Rattus norvegicus: one gene and its partners. The protein of the gene in region 3 binds, or shares a complex with, the protein of the main gene of each other region. Links are inferred from orthologs where the notes say so. Each region holds a gene or a part of one and is shown on either strand. Other genes may lie near its edges.

The links.
Region 1: Cnot2 (region 3) and Cnot6l share a complex: the UniProt entries of both Homo sapiens proteins name them as parts of the CCR4-NOT complex. The link is inferred for Rattus norvegicus from reciprocal best matches to the Homo sapiens genes CNOT2 and CNOT6L.
Region 2: Cnot2 (region 3) and Cnot6 share a complex: the UniProt entries of both Homo sapiens proteins name them as parts of the CCR4-NOT complex. The link is inferred for Rattus norvegicus from reciprocal best matches to the Homo sapiens genes CNOT2 and CNOT6.

What each region holds. Positions count from the first base shown.
Region 1 is NC_086032.1:13,797,945-13,801,592, forward strand, and holds part of Cnot6l (CCR4-NOT transcription complex subunit 6-like), read left to right. Parts: intron 1-1,353; coding exon 1,354-1,566; 3' UTR 1,567-3,648. UniProt on the Homo sapiens protein: Has 3'-5' poly(A) exoribonuclease activity for synthetic poly(A) RNA substrate.
Region 2 is NC_086028.1:34,529,188-34,533,334, reverse strand, and holds the start of Cnot6 (CCR4-NOT transcription complex subunit 6), read left to right. Parts: upstream 1-1,208; 5' UTR 1,209-1,425; intron 1,426-1,606; exon of another isoform or gene 1,607-4,147. UniProt on the Homo sapiens protein: Poly(A) nuclease with 3'-5' RNase activity.
Region 3 is NC_086025.1:54,105,044-54,109,491, reverse strand, and holds the start of Cnot2 (CCR4-NOT transcription complex subunit 2), read left to right. Parts: upstream 1-1,531; 5' UTR 1,532-1,920; coding exon of another isoform or gene 1,921-1,925; intron 1,926-2,179; exon of another isoform or gene 2,180-2,830; intron 2,831-4,448. UniProt on the Homo sapiens protein: Component of the CCR4-NOT complex which is one of the major cellular mRNA deadenylases and is linked to various cellular processes including bulk mRNA degradation, miRNA-mediated repression, translational repression during translational initiation and general transcription regulation.

The DNA of each region.
Region 1 (3,648 bases), on a different chromosome or scaffold from region 3:
GTATTGTTTTGATCACTTGTCCATGGCGACGGGCAGTTAAATATTTAAGAACTAGCTTTCTGAGGTTACTAAGCCTTGACTTGTAGTGTTTTCTGTGGATTATGTACTTTTCCAGTCTAATGTGATAACTTTTGTTGACATTGTTGCGAAAGGTACTGTTAAAGTTGGAAATCACTAGCTCTTGTATAATACTGTTTTTGCAGAAGTTGAAAGAAATACTTCTGTACTTAGTGATAGTTTAAATCCTATGTTTGTAATTATAATATATAATATATTTGCAAGCATACCCCAGAAGAACTAATAAAAGCCTCCTAAAAAAAAAGTGTTCAGTAATTAGCTGTAATCATTTTCTTAGTTATATGAGTAGATTAAGAGAAAATATTACTTTTTCCATTCTTTTTAGAATCTTTTTAAGTTGTCCATAAACTATAAAATAAACACAGTTTGGCATATTCATTTAAGCCATTTAGCTTGATCTTCCGAATATGTCTAAAATCACTTTCGATTTAGCTCAGTGGTAGAGCGCTTGCCTAGCAAGCACAAGGCCCTGGGTTCGGTCTCCAGCTCTGGAAAAAAAAGAAAAAAAAAAAAAGATTTTTCTTTAACATATCTTCAATGCGTCAGGTGTTGGGGCATATACCTGTAATCCCAAAGTGTGATAGGGTGAGGAAGGAGGGTCTTGAAGTCAAGCCCAGCTGGTTTATGTAGCAAGACCTTGTTCTATTAAATGAATAAATAAATGATTTTCACATGTAGAAATATTTCTTTCTACTTAAGTGTGGACTCTTTGCTGGGGGTAAATACTAGATTAACTGAAATTTATGCAGTTTGTGACAGTAAAGGCACATTAGTTTTGCTATTTACCAATCACATGAATTAAATCATCTAGCTTTGGGAAGTAGAACAAATGTTATATGTACAAGTATGTCTACATGTGCATGTGTCTTCTTGCTAATTGATATTTTTCTTCAGTCCAGAACTTGTAGAAATGAGTATCTTAAACTAAGCAAATTTAGACAGTTAACTGTATAGTATGTTAGACTTTACTAAACCAAGAAAGTCTGTTCTAGAAGTGCCTGTTTAGCATTTTTGCCTTATAATTTATGTACAAATGTAAAACCTTATGATACAGTCAACTGCTATGTTTCTCTATTGTTTTTCCATGTTTATTCATAATAGTAACCCATCAAAGATTAGAGCCTTGTCGAATCTACAGTTAGGGCAACAGGTACCAGGAATACGGGTTTCTTAGTTATTCAGCTTTTCCAAAGTAAGAATTGTTATTTTCATGGAGTTTTTCTCTTTTAAACATATTTTTCTTTCCCCTTTGTGCTATCCCTAATCTCTTTCCAGGGCGTGATTGACTACATTTTCTATTCCAAGACTCACATGAACGTGCTTGGTGTCCTGGGGCCTTTAGATCCTCAATGGCTGGTTGAGAACAACATCACTGGGTGTCCACACCCTCACATCCCTTCAGACCACTTCTCACTGTTAACACAACTTGAACTCCACCCTCCACTCCTGCCTCTAGTCAACGGTGTTCACTTGCCTAATCGGAGGTAGTGGAGTACAGTCCCGCAGAGACGGGGATCTGGCTATGGACCTGTACAGTTGTAAATCAAAGTATGTAGGAGTGAAGTATGGCCATCTTTAACGCTGCTTCTTCAGGTTCCTTTCACTATGTGTTTGCTGTAAGACTTTGTATATTTTTGTGCATACTGATATCATTTGGCACTAGGGCTGGAACCAAAGTATTACTGTCTGTCTCTATCCAAAAGCTTAATATACTTTAAAATTGGACTTATTTTCCTATTGTATTAGGAACCAACATTCACAACTGATAAATCACTAATTTGAGACCCCACACCAATGTTGTTCTCTAAAAACAAATACATTCTTTTGAATGTTTTCAAATAAGCCAATCATTTTTGTAAAAAGTGATTTTTAAAAACTCCAAATACAAGATTTTCAATTGAATGATGGTATGCCTTATAGGAAAAACTTTGAGTTTCTGTTTTGTTTCATAACAAGCTGATTTTTGGCTCTCAAGTCATTTGCACATTAACAAAGCACTTAAATTTGCTTGATTTGTACATTAAATATGATATAGCCACTAGCCCTAACAAGACAATTTGAGAAATGAAAGGTAATTGCATAACATGCTTTAAAATCAAGCATAGGATGTGACAGTTGGTTGGCCAGATGCTGGCTGTTTTGAGGAATCTTTCTTTTCTTTTCTCTAGTCTTTTCTTTTTTGTCTTACTATTAGTCCTAATCTTTTTAGAAGTATTAACTCCAAGCCCATCTCTCAAGTTCATTGATAAGGAAATAGCAGATAATACTGCCATACATCTTGAAACTAAAATTTGGTTTTTTTTTAGTATGCCCACAAAATTAGTGTCTGGTATTTTTCATTTTCGTGCCCACCCTTTTTTTTTTTTTTGGTCTGGTTGTACTGGAAAAATATGATCTATATCTTTACCACTACTGTTAAACATTTAAAGAAAATTGCTGAATGAAAAGCCCCTGGACAGAGTTTCAGAAAGGGAAAGCCAGATAATATTATATATGTTTTCCAAAGTAAGTAAATTTATTTGTTGTTTTGGGTTTTTTGTTTCATTTTAAGATAACAGTAGAAAGGATTTTGAGGAAAGAACAGATTTGGGGAAGTAATTGAAAACCTTGGATCATTTTTTTCTGACTCTAGCTGCCAAATGGCCATCATATGCTTTTAATCTTCGTTGCCATTTGTCTAGATCTGAATTAAGCTACTGTTTTATTCCCAAAGTTTGATGCCTCTAGATGTATTGGAAACCCCCCACCATTTGTTGTTGTTGGCCAGGAGGTGCCACTTGAAAATCTTAAGAGGCAGAGAGCATGAACACCATTTTGTGGGGAGAAAATTTGTTGGCAAAATTAGAAAATGTTAATTATGGCACAGTAACATTGGAAAAGGTTGTGTCTGTGTTTTTAAGTTTTTCTTTATTCTGCTTTTTTGCTGCTATAAGAGTTTTCTGAAATTTATATTTTAAACTTTTCATGCACTTTACTGTTTCTAGTATCAAAATGTGATATTTTTAATAAACAAGAAATTTTCCATTATGTGATGAAATTTTAAAAGAAAATAGCCTATATTTGTGTCTAATATATAAAGTACAAGTCAAATTTAAATTATTTAATTAGTTTTAAATATATACAAATTGTCTCCTCTTTCAAACGTGACAACTTAGGCTGTTTTATTAGTCTTAAACGATACATTTCCTGTGGTCATTTTATACTAATTTCTTCCATAGTTTACCGATCAGGCTATATAAAAGAATATTTCCCCGAAGGGTAATTTTAGTGGGGCGAGGGTGGTGGGATGATGTAGTATCACACAGGACTGCATCTGGAAGAGCTCTGTAAAGCCTAAACTCCCTTTTAAAAGTGCCTAGTGACAGAGGCGTCGTCATCTATTGTGATTGGAATGTCACTGTAGTTCAGCAAAGTTTGATGTAAATAAAATATTCTTTTAAAAATGTTAAAGCACCTGAATAAACAAACAAAAGAAACCCTTGATGACAGATTTTCCTCAGTGTTCAGGTATCCCTTCTTATATACCTCAAGCATCCAACATCTAGCCATGCAGATTGATTACCTGAAGCG
Region 2 (4,147 bases), on a different chromosome or scaffold from region 3:
GGTATTACAGTGTTAAGTTCAGCTAACCCTTGCATTAATTAATTAATAACGGCTCCAATGTATAAACTTGCACAATATTTGTAATAACTGTCCACTTTTGTTGTTCGTTCTTTTATTTACCTCATTGTGTCTAATTGACCATTTAATTTATTTATAAATTAAGCTGTTTTATAGGGATGCATGTATGGGAGAGTAAACAGTATATAAACTGTTGTTCTAAAATCAGTGCTATTAAGTCTTAGAACATGACCCTGAGGATAAGGTATAGAAAGGAATTGATGCCGTAAACATTCTGGGAGGTGAGGACAAGATTTGAACCAGACACTGAATGACTATTTCCTTGGTGAAAGATGCAAGTCTACAGGTCTAAGAATGGGAGTGACTCTCAAACAGAAGTCCTAAGGAATCCATAAGACACATAATTAGACCTCTCAAACCAACCTAAAAATCTTCAAAGCAGTTGAGAGAAAGCAGGCAAGTCCTTACCAAAGGACAACTTGAAACTGGTAGGCTTCTCTTCTGAAGTGATGGGTAGGACGACCGGCACCCCTCAGGTTTCTAGAAGAACCAAGACCCCCAGGCCCTACACAGGTCAAACTGTTGTTATGGAATTAAAGGCGAAGAGGACACTCTGAGTAAAGGAAAACATGGGAACTTGCCGCTGTCATCCTGGGAGCACAAAAGTCCTTGGGGCCACAGAGCTCCAGAGAACCAGGAATGTTGAACACACAGGGGCCACTCCACAATGGAGGAGGTAAACATACCTTTTTTTTCCCACCCAGAGGGCTGGGAGTAAATATTGTTAATGATCTGGTGACCCTTTGCCTGTCTGTGGAGGCAGAGCTCACCTACCTTTTGCTATAGAGGCAGACCTCACCCAAATCCCCTACAATGTTTATCCCAGACTCTTGCTCCCTAGCTCTCAGTTAATAAGAAACATCCTTAGGGGGGATGACACATGTACTTTATAACCTGTTGACCTCTAAGCTAACTCAGTCAGAGAGCACACTAGATTCCAGGCCCTTTAGCTATAGAACCCACTGTCTTGGTCACGTGTACTTTGCAAATGAGTTTCTAAGTAGTCACACCTCAAGCTTTATTGAGCACCTGGAATTGGAATGATTGTTGCCTGGAAACCTGGAATGGGAATGACTGTTGCCTGGACATTTTTTTCCAGATTGCACTGTGTTTTTAAATATGCTGACAATGAACTGCCTGGCATTGGACTCCCTGAAGTCTGATCCAGGTTGACAAAGTCAATGTGAACCAAGCTTTCATTCTCATCTCTTCGTGGGTTGGCTTTGCTGCCTGGACACCTGCAGGATCCCCCTCATTGGCAGACCTTCCTTAAAAGAATGGCTAAGGGAAGCTCTCCAGAACTGAAGAAAATGGTAGCTGACCCTTCTAAGAGGAAAACACAATGAGGTGGGTAAACTGACTTAAATGTAACAGACTCTTCCCCACATGAGTTCTCTTACTCATGTTTTATGGTTAAGGTAGGATGGTGTGGCTCGTTGGTAGACCATTTATCTAGTACCCGAAAAGCCTCTAATTCCTCCTCTAGCACCCCACAGGACAAAGGATATAGAGGACAAAACGGCGGCAGTAGGTTGTGATAAGCTGTTTATGGGTATGATACAGCACAAGAAAACTACAATGGGGTACAACTGCAACTTTAGGGAAACACAAGGAAGGCCAAGCGGCCAATAGGGAGTCCTGGGAAAGCAAAACAAAACAAAACAGACAAAAAATAGGCTGACACACAGAGCAAACAAGAAAAATGCAAAACCCAAACGTTTAAATGACTGACTTAGTCGTAGCACTTCAATGGTTGTGCTAGATGAAGTAGTCTGGGGGCTGGCAGAGGCCTCAGTGGTTAAGAGTGTGCACTGCTCTTACAGAGGACCCAGATTCAGTTCCCAGCCTCCTTGTCAGGCAGTTCCAGGGGGATCCAGTGTCTCTGATCTCTGGGCATCTGCATTCACATGCACGCGGCCAATCACACACACACACACACACACACACACACACACACACACACACACACACACACTTAGAAAAATGAAATAAATCTTGAAAAGAGAAAGAATGATGGGTTAAAAAAAACACAGTTCAGGGGCTGGAGAGATGGCTCAGCGGTTAAGAGCACCCAACTGCTCTTCCAGAGGTCCTGAGTTCAATTCCCAGCAACCACATGGTGGCTCACAACCATCTGTAAAGAGATCCGATTCCCTCTTCTGGTGTGCCTGGAGACAGTGACAATGTACTCATCATATATAAAATGAATAAAAAACAAACAAACAAACAAAAAAAACCACAGTTCAACTATATGTTACCTATAAGACACAAATAAAACTGTTAAGAGTTTGAATATGGGGCTAGAGAGATGGCTCAGCGGTTAAGAGCACTGACAGCTCTTCCAGAGGTCCTGAGTTCAAATCCCAGCAACCACATGGTGGCTCACAACCATCTGTAATGAGATCTGATGCCCTCTTCTGATGTGTCTGAAGACAGTGATGGTGTACCTACATACATAAAATAAATAAAATCTTTTAAAAAAGAGTTTGAATATATGTCCCCCCACAGGCTTCTACAATGGGGGTTTGGTGGCTAATAGGCTTCTGGGAAATAATTTGATCCTAAGGACTCTGGTCAAAGCAATTGGTTTTTCTTTCATGGATTCTCGATGTGAAGTCTCGATGTGTTTGGAGGTGGAGCCCAGTTAGAGGACATAGGTCAGTAGGTTGTGCCCGAGGAAGATGTATCTTGTTCCCTTACTCTGCTTTCTCTCTTCTTAGCCACCATTAGGTGGATGAGTTCCTCTTCCACATGCTCATGGTCTCTGCTTCATGCCAGGCCCAAAGTGATGGGTCCAGTAGCCATGTACTGAAGCCTTTGAAACCATGAGCCACCATAAGTTACTTCATGTGACTTCGCCACAGCAACAAAAACTGTCAGAGTAAGGAAAGGGAACAGATGGGGAAAGATAAAGGAGGCCCAGGCTGAAATGGAGTACTTCGCCAAATATAAGATTTGTTCCTTCAAATAGAAGAGGGGCCACTTCACTGGTTTTATGGGCCAGTTGTACTCTCATCTAAAGATAGCACAAGAAAGAAAACCATGAATCCCTATCTCTCCTAACTTATGTAAATAAACGCATGAAAACATTGGCAGATCAAATCTAAGAATGTACAAAGAGGATGACATTCTTCCACTGACAGGGATCCATCCCAGTTATACAAGGTGTTTCAGTATCTGAAGATCAACAGGAAAAGTCCTATGACTGTATCAACTTAAGCAGAAAAGCTGAAGATATGTATTTGTGATAAAACACTTATGAGAGAAACTCTGTGTCTGTGGGCAGGGGAGGTAGTAGCTTAGTTGAGTAAGTGTATACACGATTAGTGCATTAGTCAGGGCTCTGTAGAGGAACTGATTGAATGAATGGATGGAATGAATGAATGAGTGAGTGAGTGAAAGAATGCATTAAAGATTTATTTAATTATGTGTATGAGTGTTTGGCTTGTCTCTGTACCATGTGCGTGCCTCGTACCCAAGGAGGTCAGAAGAGGGCATCAGATCCTCTGATCCTGGAGTTACAGACAGTTGTGAGTCCATGTGGATACTGAGAATCCTCTGCAGGAACAATTACTCTTAACTGCCAAGCTCTCTCCAGCCCTCCTGAATCTCAGTCTTCTTTGGAATCCTGAAGTAGGTTCTACTACTAGAGAAGAAGCAGCAGGTTAGATGAACTTGCCAGCGGGAATGAGGGCAAGCAGGCAAAAACAAAACCCCAAAATTTCATTCTTCCATGCCCTTTATATAAGCTGCCACCAAAGTGTGGCCCAGATTTAGGGTGTGTCTTCTGACCTCAAATGATCCAGATTTTAGAGTAAGTCTTTCCACTTCAAATGATCCAATCAACAAAATCCCCTGGGTGCCCAACCTTGGATTTTAGTTATTTCCAGATGAAGCCAAGCTGGCAGCTGAGATTAGTTATCATGCCTAGCATGTGTAAGGTTCTGAGTTTGATACCTGGGACCACACAAGCCAGTGGTGCTGCATGCCTATGAGCTGAGCTCGGGAGGAAGTCAGGAGGATCGAGTGCTCAAGGTCCCGGCCTGTGAGACTGTTCAATTGGTAAAGA
Region 3 (4,448 bases):
CATGTTGAGCCATTAATACAAGTTCTTAGCAAATGTTAGGTCATTCATTGAATGCTTTCCTAGCATTCCAGTTCCACATATTAATTTGCTCCACACATTAATTAAGAAAATGTTATCTCACCTAGTAAAACCCAATCATAGTAAAACTCAGACCTTCTCCACTGAAAGCAATTTTTAAAACTTGGACAAAAATGTGTTAAGTTAATATAGGTAAGAAGAGTAATGAATTCAAATATTTAATGTTATTTAATGTGATAATGCTACTATATACACATAAAGGGCTCCAAATAATTAGTAGCCAGATTAAGGTGCTCTGTATTACATGCATTCATACACAAGAACTGTACGTGCCTAGAGGTATACTCAGTCTTTGAACACACTACCTTACAGCAGTAGATGTTAACTTGAGAGGAAGAGAAAGCAGAAGAGATAGGAAAGCACTCTTGGGGGAGGGGCCATATAGGACTGTGTAGTTCCTTCTTGAATTTCCCTGAAGTAAAACCAAAACAAAACACAAAAGGGTAAAATGGAGTATTTAATGAAAAACCCAGCAAAATAAACCTTTTCTATTTGGCTATACCAGTTCCTGTTGATATTTAAACAAATTTACATATCTACTGTTATGCATATTTGCTGATAAACCAAAATACCTTCAAAACCTTGACAAAAGTACTTTTAATTTCATCTTGGGTTTTATCTTCCTTTTTCTGGCCTTCAACTATGATAAACCGAAGTGATATATATTGGTTGATTGGGGTGGGGGATGGGGCTGGAAGAAGGTAATTTTAAAAAAATAAAACAGCAGAAATTTTATTTACTTCAAATTAGTAGTAATCCACATTAATAAGTTCTACCACTCAAACAGGAATAGCAATGCGTTATGAAACTAGTAACTTCAAAACACACAGAGGCTTTTTTCGCAAGTTTAGTAACCATAAAACACGAAGTTTATGGATGTTCAAAGGAGTAAAGTAAGAGTATTACAGCAATGAAAACGAATTTTACTTTCAGGGATTGCACTGTTTTGGAGAACAAAACCCTGGAAGTTCCCACCACAGCCACCGTATTTTCAAAAGGTTTAGTGGATGAGCCAGCTGATCACTAAGGTTTACAAAGGGCGCGCCGGGCGGGAACTAAGTAAAATGCCATAAACATCGGACGGTTAGATTAAGCCCTCCCCGTGGTGCTTTAAAAACACGTTCCCCTTACTTCCTCTCACCAGGTTTGAACCGAAAAAACATATGAAAAGGAAGAGGGGGGGCGGCGATCAGACGCCCAGGTTCCAGCGGAGGGGAACTCACTGCTCAGGGGGGTGCCGGCGGCGTGCGGCGGGTGTTTGGGGGTGCGCACCCGGGAAGCGCAGGCTGCGGAACGACGATTGGACCTGAGTACCGCTGCCACTGCGCCGGCAGGTAGTAGTAGCACTAGCCCGGGGACAGACTGCAGGAGGTGCTCGGGGGCGGGGTGTCCGACGAAAACACAAACACAAACACGCTGTGCGTCCCCAGGTGGGCGGACCCACGCTGCCTCAGCATTTCCCCGCCCCCGCCCCCGAGGCCGCTCTCGGACCCCAGGCCGCAGCTCCTGGTGTGGCGGTCTGGCTTGGGAAGCCCGGCGAGGCCTCGGAGGCCCCACTTTCCGTAATCGCCACAAGGCAGCGCCGCACCTCCGCGGGAGGTGGCGGGACGCCTGGCGGAAGCCCGGGAAGGCTCCTGAGGAGCGCCGTGCTTCTCACCGTCGACCGGCGTTCGGGAAACACTCTGTCCTTGAGGCGAGCATCGCTCGCCACCTTCTGCCGCCGCCTTAGAGCGAAGTCGGAGCGACGGGGGTCACGGCGGGGGTCAGAGGGTAAAGGTCTTGCTCCCAGCAGCCTCCGCGGTGGATACGTCGCCATCTTGGATCCGCGGGACAAGAAAATTCATGCGGTGAGTTTTTGGCAAATTTTCGGAAGTCTGGCAGCGGGGCGCGCGGCGGGGGAGGCGGATTGAGGGCCCCCTCAAGGCGGGGGAATGCCTCGGGGCTGGTCCGGTCGCGCCCGGGGTCCGCGGGTAGCGTCCCGGCCCGCCGCTTCCCGTTGCTTTTGTCTCGGCTCCAATCGAGAGAGGGAGAGCGGAGCGGGCGGGGAGGGGGGTGGCGGCGCTGGAGGAGGGAGGGGGTGTGTGGCGGGGTGGACAAGACGTAAAGCGTCGCCGTGCTCGGGCCGCCGCCGCCGCCGCCGCCGCCGCCGCAGCCGCTGCAGCTCCGGAGCCTAGGCCCGGTCCTGGCTGCCCGCGACGGGGCTTTCCCGGTACTCCGCTTCCCCGGCTCCCGCCGGCGCGGAGCAGCCACTGCCGCCGTGCTGCTTCCTGGGGTAGGAGAGAAGGCGGCAGCGGCAGCGGCAGCATCCGAGGAGCCCCGGCCGCTTTAGACGGCTCTGCCACGTTCCCAGCAGCTGCTGGTCCTTGAATCTTCCCATTCTGGCAATACACGCGCATCCTCCGCCACTTGTGTGTTTTTGTTTGTGTAAGATGGGGACATCGCACTGGCTAACGGGCCTCAGGAGCCTCCAGGCCCTGAGATACCGAAGGGCCTTGCAAGGTAGAGGGAGGAGAGCAACTTAAGATGCTGCTTCTGCCACCGTACCCGGAGAGGGAAGCTTCTCTTGTGGTGTAGACTTGAGTTCGGATGGTCCTGGGGCAGCGGAGGAGGAACCGGAGACACTCTGAAGTTGCAAGCCCTGGTTTCTACTTCCGCCGGGCCCTCTCTACCTTTTGCTGTTTTAGGTCTTCACTTCAAAGTTTCATAGAAGAAATAAGTTGGGTTAAAAGAAACCCGATAGTTCTTAATTGAGGTACTGTTTGCTTAGGAGAAAGCTTAGAATCCTTGTTATCTGTAGGCCCTTAGGGGAATCTAATTGTACTTTTCTTTTCGTAAAATTATTTCTAAGGTTTTGTTTTTTGCATTTACTTTAGACCCCATTAGTATGTTATTACTTCCAAAAATATCTTACACACTTTCTTGGAAATCCTAGGGGACATCTCCACTTTTCAGCATCTGGAAAAACAAGTGTTAAGAGTGTTTTGCTTCATTTTCATTAAATTCTTAGCCAAGAATTTCTCTTTAATCATCTGGACAGTTCCTAATAAAATATAGCAATATGATCCTTAGATTCTTGGCGAATGGTAGAAAGTATGATACTGAGTTAACCAAATCTGTTCACAAGGGAGACATTTGATGTTCAAAAACACATTTTTCTATTATTCTCCATAGTGAGAAATTTTAAGGAGATGGAATTGTGTTCTTATAGATTTCCCTTTCCAAACAAATAAGTGAGGGTAATTTATATGGAGCGAGTGGGATAGAAATTTAAACTTTCACAACAGTTTATGTTTGGAAATGCTTGGCATATTCAACACAGTTCCTTCTCAAAAGTCACCTTTGTAGTTTTATAAGGTATTTTATTCCAAGTTGGAAGTGTTGTTTAAAAATCCAGTACACTGAAATGACTGTCTACATTCACATATTGTCTGTGTTGAGGTTTTGTGTCTTTGATATGTTTTCTTAATGATCCAAGATCATTAACAAGGATCCTTATGCTCTCCTATCTAGTCTGTTGTTATCTTAAAGCTAAAGGAAAAGTTCAAAATGCACAATTTCTTTTACTTTTCACTTTTACTGACTTTGCAGGATCCTTATTTTTAAAATGGAACCTTTTCATTTTTTAAAAAGTGACTTTTTTCTAAGTATTTTATAACTCTAGACCAGAAATAAAAACTGTATTTAGCTTTTTTTTCTTTGCATTCCTGTTAATGCTTTACTAATATACAGAAGTTAAGGTAGTGCATGTGTTGACAGAGCACTTGGGTTCTAAGATACAGTCTAGAGATATCTGTAACCCTACCAGATGCTAGAGGCTGAGAGTCATCTGCACATCAGTAAATGCAGCCTTTGGAAAATTCTGTTTCTAAAGTGCTTTAAAATAAATTTGTTTGGTGGAAAATGAAGCAGATTGATGTCTGTGAGTGGTTTTTATCCCAGCCATCTGAGAACTCTTTGATTTGAAAATGAAATCAAGCTCCAAATGATATGCTCCCTAAAATAATAATCACCTTTATTTTCCCTATATAAAGGTGGGTGCTTTTTGGTTTTTCAGAGATGCCTTAGATTTATTAAAACTTCAAAAATAAATATTTTATACTGCTGGTAAATTAGAAATACCAGTAATCCTTCTCTGCTCATTTCTTTTCTTTTTTTTTTTTTTTCCCCCCGGAGCTGGGGACTGAACCCAGGGCCTTGCGCTTGCTAGGCAAGCTCTCTACCATTGAGCTTAATCCCCAACCCTTGCTCATTTCTGAAGTAGGTGCTAATATTAGCAAAACTTAAACTTTAATGAATCATTATAGAATTTTTTTACACTCTGTGGGATAGTATAAGTTTTTTTTAATGGACAAATTTGCTTGGTAAGAATG